2 linked regions of the Tribolium castaneum genome follow. The protein of the gene in region 1 purifies or fractionates together with the protein of each later gene. This does not show direct contact. Links are inferred from orthologs where the notes say so. Each region holds a gene or a part of one and is shown on either strand. Other genes may lie near its edges.

The links.
Region 2: the proteins of Slmap (region 1) and Ccm3 purify together in Homo sapiens (affinity purification with mass spectrometry; 3 studies listed by BioGRID and IntAct, counting the BioPlex papers as one, with this or other methods). This does not show direct contact. The link is inferred for Tribolium castaneum from reciprocal best matches to the Homo sapiens genes SLMAP and PDCD10.

Annotation. Positions count from the first base shown.
Region 1 is NC_087399.1:2,656,011-2,659,935, forward strand, and holds the start of Slmap (sarcolemmal membrane-associated protein), read right to left. Parts: upstream 2,675-3,925; 5' UTR 2,535-2,674; exon of another isoform or gene 2,429-2,534; 5' UTR 2,335-2,428; coding exon 2,056-2,334; intron 2,010-2,055; coding exon 1,787-2,009; intron 1-1,786. Other genes in the region: PRKR-interacting protein 1 homolog, read left to right, coding at 2,804-2,935, 2,981-3,160, 3,209-3,541. UniProt on the Homo sapiens protein: Associates with the striatin-interacting phosphatase and kinase (STRIPAK) core complex, forming the extended (SIKE1:SLMAP)STRIPAK complex.
Region 2 is NC_087398.1:11,643,512-11,646,825, reverse strand, and holds Ccm3 (programmed cell death protein 10), read left to right. Parts: upstream 1-1,320; 5' UTR 1,321-1,457; coding exon 1,458-1,529; intron 1,530-1,576; coding exon 1,577-1,754; intron 1,755-1,801; coding exon 1,802-1,928; intron 1,929-1,974; coding exon 1,975-2,139; intron 2,140-2,191; coding exon 2,192-2,276; 3' UTR 2,277-2,519; downstream 2,520-3,314. Other genes in the region: WD repeat-containing protein 55 homolog, read right to left, coding at 1-1,099. UniProt on the Homo sapiens protein: Promotes cell proliferation. Modulates apoptotic pathways. Increases mitogen-activated protein kinase activity and STK26 activity. Important for cell migration, and for normal structure and assembly of the Golgi complex.

The sequences.
Region 1 (3,925 bases):
CACTTTTTACAATAGTTTAGCCGTAAATGAGAAAATAAAAAAAATTAAAAAAAAGTTAACACCCCCCCCTTAAAATTGGTCAATTTTTAAAGTGTCTCAAAATCAAATAAAACCTATTCTATCCTATAGATTTTGATGTGCTCTTTACGATCGAACAAACCGTTTTCTTCTAGCTCTTTTAGTTTGGCCGTAATCGGCGTTTGAAAATTGAAATTTTTTTTGCGAGATATCGCCTTAAGTCCTATGCCATTTTGTAGAGTTTTTTATTCCGGTTATCCTCCATTTTTCCGTTTCTCTATATCTTTAATAGTTTCGCCGTAATTGGCGATTAAAAATTGAAAAAAAGTGAAAATGGAAACCTTTTTTTGCGTTTTTCTCGGAAACTGTAAGACTTAGAGCAACGAACAAAAAACCATCTGATAGCGCTTAATTTTGTCTAATTTCTCGACCAAACCCGGAGCCGCTCCGGGCAACGGTTCCGGCTACAGAGGCGATCAAAGTTTTTCACTAAAAAAATTCATAAAAAAAAAACTAAAAGTCGTAGAGCATTGCGGTTTGTTCGGTTGAATTCTACGGCTCATTTTACATATTATATCGATTTTTCACAAGAATTAAAAATTTAAAAATTTTTGCCTAAATTTAGGGTAGCCATTTGTCATAGTGAAAAATTTTATTCATTAAAAAAATTCATAACTCGAAAACTAAAAGTCGTAGAGAAGTGCGGTTTGTTCCATTGGATTCAGCGGCTTTTTTCCTTTATTATACTAATTTTTCACGCAATTTAAAATTTTCTATTTTTTTGCTCAAATTTCCTGAGTATTCTTGTACCTTCAAAGAGATGAAAAAAAAATTGTTAAAAATTGTTGTTAAAAGTCCACAAAAAGTCCATATGTTCAATTTTTTGATGTTTGATTTTTTCAATTTTTGTCGCGATTTTGGTCGATTTCGGGTACCCGGAACATTTCTCGAGCAATAGCTCCGGAACTATTAGAGATAACCCCATGAAGTGTATTATCGTTGGAAAGCTCTTTTAATTATCTATCTTTTTCAAAAAGACTACTGTTCTCCGACTAACAGTTTTCGAGAAAACTGGAAATAAAAGCAAAAATAGGTAAAATTTTAAAAAATTCATATCTAAAAAACTGTTGGGAATTTTGCGATTTTCTTGACGCCAATCGATTCAGCGGATCATTTTACATAAATTTACATCAAACAATTTTACATATATATTTGTCGTAATTGGAAAAAAAATTCCAAACACAAAATAGCAAACGTGTTATTTAGTTATTGAGATACAGAAAAAAAAATCTTTTAACAAACTCATCTTGTATGAGTCGAATGTAATGCGCAACAGAAACTTTCCTTGACTTTTAAACGTTGTGAAATAAAAATAGTATGTACATAATTTAGATTTTTTAAAATACAAATTATAAACAAAAGAGAAATACCAATTTGTTTAATATTGTTGGTAAAAAATTTGGAGGCTTTCCGGAACAGTGTTTAATTTTTTCATTTAAATGTAGTGTTAAAAATAGCACAAAAACGGGTGGTCCCACTTAACCTTCCGAATTCAAATAATAATAGTAAAAAAACAGTCTAGTATTTGCCGACTTGGCCCAACTCCAAAACGACAAAAATCACTACAAGTCCGAGCAATTAATCAAAATTGGGTTCAAAATGAGCCGTTTTCCACCTTATTATGTGTTTATTTTTTTTAAATAAAAACTGGGCTTTTATCGTTATCATTCTTACGTCAAACAAGAAATATCAATTACAAGTCAATTACCATCAGTGTTATTTTCGACGATGCTGGGGCTGGCTTTGGCCTCCCTCCCATCAGGCATGTACAGTTTAAGCGTTGCGATAATGCACCCATGGGTCACCTTCTTGTTGTTTTCAATGACATCGACCCCAAACTGGACAATGTCCCCCGAACTGACCTCATGGTGCTCCGTCTCGGCCACCAGGCGATTATTGTTGACGAAAGTCCCGTTGCTGCTCTTCGTGTCCTAAACCGGGGACTTTAGTCACAACTCACTCCCAAGGGGGCCCTACCTGAAGGTAAAACTTCCCGTTCTCGTACCAGAGCACCGCATGGTGCCTGGACAGCACCTTGCAGTCGAAGATGGCGTTGGCGCAGGTGGCTTTGGCCTTCGCCACCGAGCGCCCCACCTTGACCGGCTGGTCCAGCAGAAGGGTGCGCTCCTGGAAGGGGTGCGAGTTGGGGCGGCAGATGAGCACGGCTTTGGCGAGCATCTTGGCGTTGCTGCTCTTTACCATGGGGGTTGGGTATGCGGCCACATTCTTCACCCAGATCCCGCTTACAACGACCATCGCCTGGGGTCAAGTGGGGGCAACGAGATTAATTGACAGCCGACCAAAGCAGCACACTGACACTCCACAACGCGCTACAACACAACCAACTCACCTAAAACGCAACGATTTGGGGTTTTAGAGCGATTTTCATTTACTGGGTGAAGATATGTCAAAATTTGTGGGCGTGAAACTAGCTCAAGAACTAACGCAAATCGTACCAATTCTACCACATTTTTTGCACCCGAATCGGACCAGTTCGATCGCACCGACACCACGCACGGGATTTACATTTTTTACGAGGGGTTTTTTACCAAATTTATTGCAAGTTTTTATCGCGCAGTGACATTTTCGAGCACAAAGACAAGGCTGTGTTAGGGATTTTCGCCTTTCACCAGAGTGGCACCTCTGACCTTTCACCACCTAATTTCACGTCAAACGATTCGTAAACAGAAAGTTAGGTTACTTTAACGACAAAAACTTGAAAAAAATGGCAAAAAACACACCGGGGGACCGCGATAGCAGCCCCGATATGGAAATCGAGCGCGACCACAAGCCCATAGTCATACGCAACTCCACGGACTTGCAAAGACTCAAACTGGAAAAACTGATGAAAAACCCGGTAAGTGGCCCCTGAGAGTTGTTAGCATTGTTATAAATTGTGTAGGAGAAAGAGGTGATCATCCCCGAAAGGCCCAAAGAGCGGGGGGTTCCCGTGGTGCCTGATTTTGTACGTAATGTCATGGGGAGCAGCGCTGGGGCTGGTTCTGGGGAGTTCCACGTCTATAGACACTTAAGGAGAAAAGAGTACGCGAGACAAAGATACATGAAAGAAAAGGGCGAAAGGGTAATTAATTTGAATTATGCCTTCGTTATTTTTGAAAAAAGTCTTTAGGAAAAGTTGGATAACGAATATCATGCCAAACTTGAAGAAAACAGGAGGAAAGCGGAGGAAAGGACGGCGAAGAAGAGACAGAAACGACTAAAGAAAAAGCAAAAAATGAAAAAAAAGCCGAAGTTAGGCAGTAAGTCTTCACAAAGTGAAGCAACCGACAGTAGTAGCAGTGAAGAAGTTGAAAGTGAAGAATGTGAGAAAAAGAACGAAGAACAAACGCCAAGTGAAGACAGTAAGCCTACAAAGGAAGAAAATACAGAAGATCGGAAGGAGGGTGGAAAAGAAGACGCACCAAAAGAAACTCCTGATAACACTAATGACGAAATTAAATAAAAACCAAATAAACGTATTTTTAATTATTTGCCTGTTTTTTGTTATTATTTGATCATGCCTTTTCTATGGAGAACTGTAACTTATGAGACGAAACGAGATACATAAGTCGTACTATTTACGTATTTTTTGTATGCTATGTGCTAACAATAAAACAAATAAAACCTTTTTTTTTAATTGATTGCCCATTCTTATGAAAACAACTGCGTTCTCTAGCGACCTTAACGGAACTATCAGGGAGAGGAACGTTTTATTTGTAGGTGGCTTCGTATCCTAGCCTTTAAATCTCCGTAGTCCTACCTCTCTCAGTCCCCTAATTTTTTTATTTAAAAAAAATTTGTAACGTAAAATGGTGATATAACTGTTTGAGTTGCTTTCAGCGTTAAT
Region 2 (3,314 bases), on another chromosome or scaffold:
AATACTTGATGTTCCAAAACTTGATGTCATTGTTGTGACTACTGGAGGCAATAAACTGTCCGTTGTTGCAAATATCTAGTTTTTCAACGGACAAGTCATGTTGTCCCACGATGCCTAGATGTCTGTGAGGGAACAAATGCGTCGCTCTTAAAACCCCATCTTCGCACGCAGTCACGACGATATTTTCAGTGATTGGAATCAAATCATTAATTGCGGACTTAGTCCCTGGGAAAATATCGCTATGTAGCCCAAACTCATTCCAATTATACAGCAACAATCGGCCTTTGGACGACCCAGCCAATAATTTACTCTCCGACCGGAAAAGCCCGAGACAAGTGAGCTCCTCGTCGTATTCTTCAGACTGCATGTGAATTTTTCGATTATTCAAATCTATTGTTGTAAGAGAACCATCGCCGCTTGAACACAACAAAAGACTTTTAGCCTCGTTCGTTACCAAATCGCTGATATAATCCTCGTTTTTCTTAGTTCGATAAATCGGCTTTGAGGCGTTTTGCCGCAAATCCCACAGTTTCACACACCCGTCGTCGTCTCCAGTCGCGAACAAATTCTCATCAATCACCAAAAGACTATAAATCGGTGACTCGTGCGCCTCGTCGTAGAACCGGGACAATTTCCCACTTTCAACATCACTTATCATAATTGTCTTGTCTTTAGCCACGGAAAATAAACTTTCACCGTCTCCACTAAACTCAATGTCTCGACAAGCCTTCGTATGCACTTCCAACGTGCGAATAATCGAATTTTCCTCGTTAGAGTATTTGTAGAGAATAATATCGCCCACGATACTCGCAACAGCTAGCAAGTCCTCCTGGGGGTGAAACGAAATATCCGTTATAAAATCCTCGCAGTGGATAACAGGGGGGTGGTCACGCTTCTTCTCAGCGGCGCTCCGAATGGCCTTAATCACCTCATCTTCCTCCTCTTCTTCGGGCCCCCCGTTTGCTTCATTCTGATCATCAGGGGACTCGTTTTCATCAGAAGACTCGTTTTCGTCAGAATCGGACATGCTGACGTCGGAATCGTCCGAATCCGAGTCCATTTCGTCTTCTTCATTGTTTTTATCACGTTTGTTGCACATTTTTCAAGTCAGGTTTTTGAGGTTAGGAGAACGGTGTGACAGATTGTGCAAACAACCGAAAAAAATTTCTCGCTCAAAAACCGTTAAAAAACGAAAGATCACTAGCACTGCATGGAAGTCAAACACGGAATCACATTTTATGAAAAAAATTGCCAAAACGGTTGACCATAATTAGAAAAAAGTGATTCGAACGTACACACACTCGGGCACTTGTCACGCCAAGTTTCCTGTCAAACGGTGACAGTTGACAGTTAAGAAAAATATTTACCTTGTTCCTTGAAATTTTTTCGTTATCTTATCAGTTGGGCCCCGCAAACAACGTATTTTTCGTCACACCACCCACCCCTAGCCGAGAAATATGACAATGGGCGATGAAACACCGGTCACATCGTTGATACTTCCCGTGCTGATACGCCCCATCCTTTCCCAGGTAATTGCGTAAAAACGGTTCAAAAAGCGTAATTCGACAAATTCCAGCTCGAAAAGCAAGACATATCGGCGTCGCAGACCCTCCGCTCCGCCCTCACCAAAGCCGAAGCCTCCTGTCCCGGCCTCACCCATGAGCTTGTTTTGGGTATCATGCGAAAGGGGGACCTCACGGTCAACCTAAACGAAAGCATCCTGCGTTTGCAGGGCGCCGCCACCGAAACCGATGGTATTTGAGCGGATTTTCTAGTGGTTTTGTGTTAATTTTAATTGTAGAGTACAGACTGAACAGGTCAGAAGACGCCTTCCAGGAACTCAACCGCAAATCGGCGGCGCTTAAGCGCATTCTTAGCAGAATCCCCGACGAGATCAACGACAGAAAAACGTTTCTCGAAACGATCAAGTACGTTGCTGACCGCTGATTGTTTGTTGTTTATTGGAGTTTTCAGGGAAATCGCAAGTGCCATTAAAAGGTTACTAGATGCCGTAAATGAAGTCAATGGGTTCATTCCCGGAACCACTGGCAAACAAGCGCTAGAGCAGCGCAAAAGAGAGTTTGTCAAGTTTTCCAAACGCTTCAGCAACACGCTTAAAGAGTATTTTAAACAAGGACTGTAAGTGGGCTGGTTTTCATTGTTTCGTTTCCTGTTACGTTGTTTTTTCCAGTGCCGACGCTGTTTTCATTAGCGCACTCTACCTCATACACCAAACTAATATGATTATTGCCACTGTTAAGCAAAAGTGTGAATAAGTTGTGATTAACTATTTTTTTAATTAATTTATTAGACAAGAGTATTGTTATGAATGGGTTTAAGGCGGAGTTCTACAATTTGCTGTTTGTTGTTTTTTATTAATCTAATACAAATTTTCCACCAACTGTTGAAAGTATTCCTGTATAGAAAATATTTTAGTGAAGAGTGCAAAAATTTAGATAGTATTATATTATCAAAATAAATATGTAATAAATTGTATTAATAAACGACTATTTTAAGAACGTCTCGCTTTATTAATTAACCCCTATCCCGTGTTATACCCATACTTTACACAATACAACCATTCGAGAAGCCGTTATTTACCATAAATAGACGGTATCAAAAAAGATACAGGAAAAAATACAACTGGTAGAATGTCACTCGTAATTGTTACGACGGTACGTAGCAATTTAAGTTTCCAAAAATATCATCGTTACATGAGGATCTAAATCAAAATGTAACAGGAAACATGATCGCACTAATTTATTTTTTAAGACTCCAGTAATTGTACCCACCCTATTACTGACAGTAGGGATGTAACTTTTTTATTTTCTGATACAGACGACTAAAAAATCAGGAACAAATAACCGACTGCTCCATTTACACTTATTTAATGAAACCATTACAAGAGTCGTCTTTTTTCCGGCATCTCAAAAACTAATCACTGCACAAAAGTCGGGGTTTGCTATTAAATACTTTGTTTTTTCTATGCATGTGAATGTTTCCAGAATTTTTCTACGATTTCTTATACAGTCAGACTTCGATAACTCCAAATGGCAATTGCCAACAAAACTAATTATGTTATGGAAAAGTCCTCCTATCAAAAATAACAGAAAAAATAAAACTATAGCTAATGTTGAAAAAAATATTAAAATGGTAGGTTAATATTATAATATGTTTTAATACAAAATTTAATTTGACATTACATAGCACCCCACAAAAAAATTTTGATTATTTCTTGTCCTTGTTTTTCCAAGATGCTTAATGTTTTGTGCAAATAATATGTAAAAAAATTGTTGCAAGTTTCAAAGTGTTAG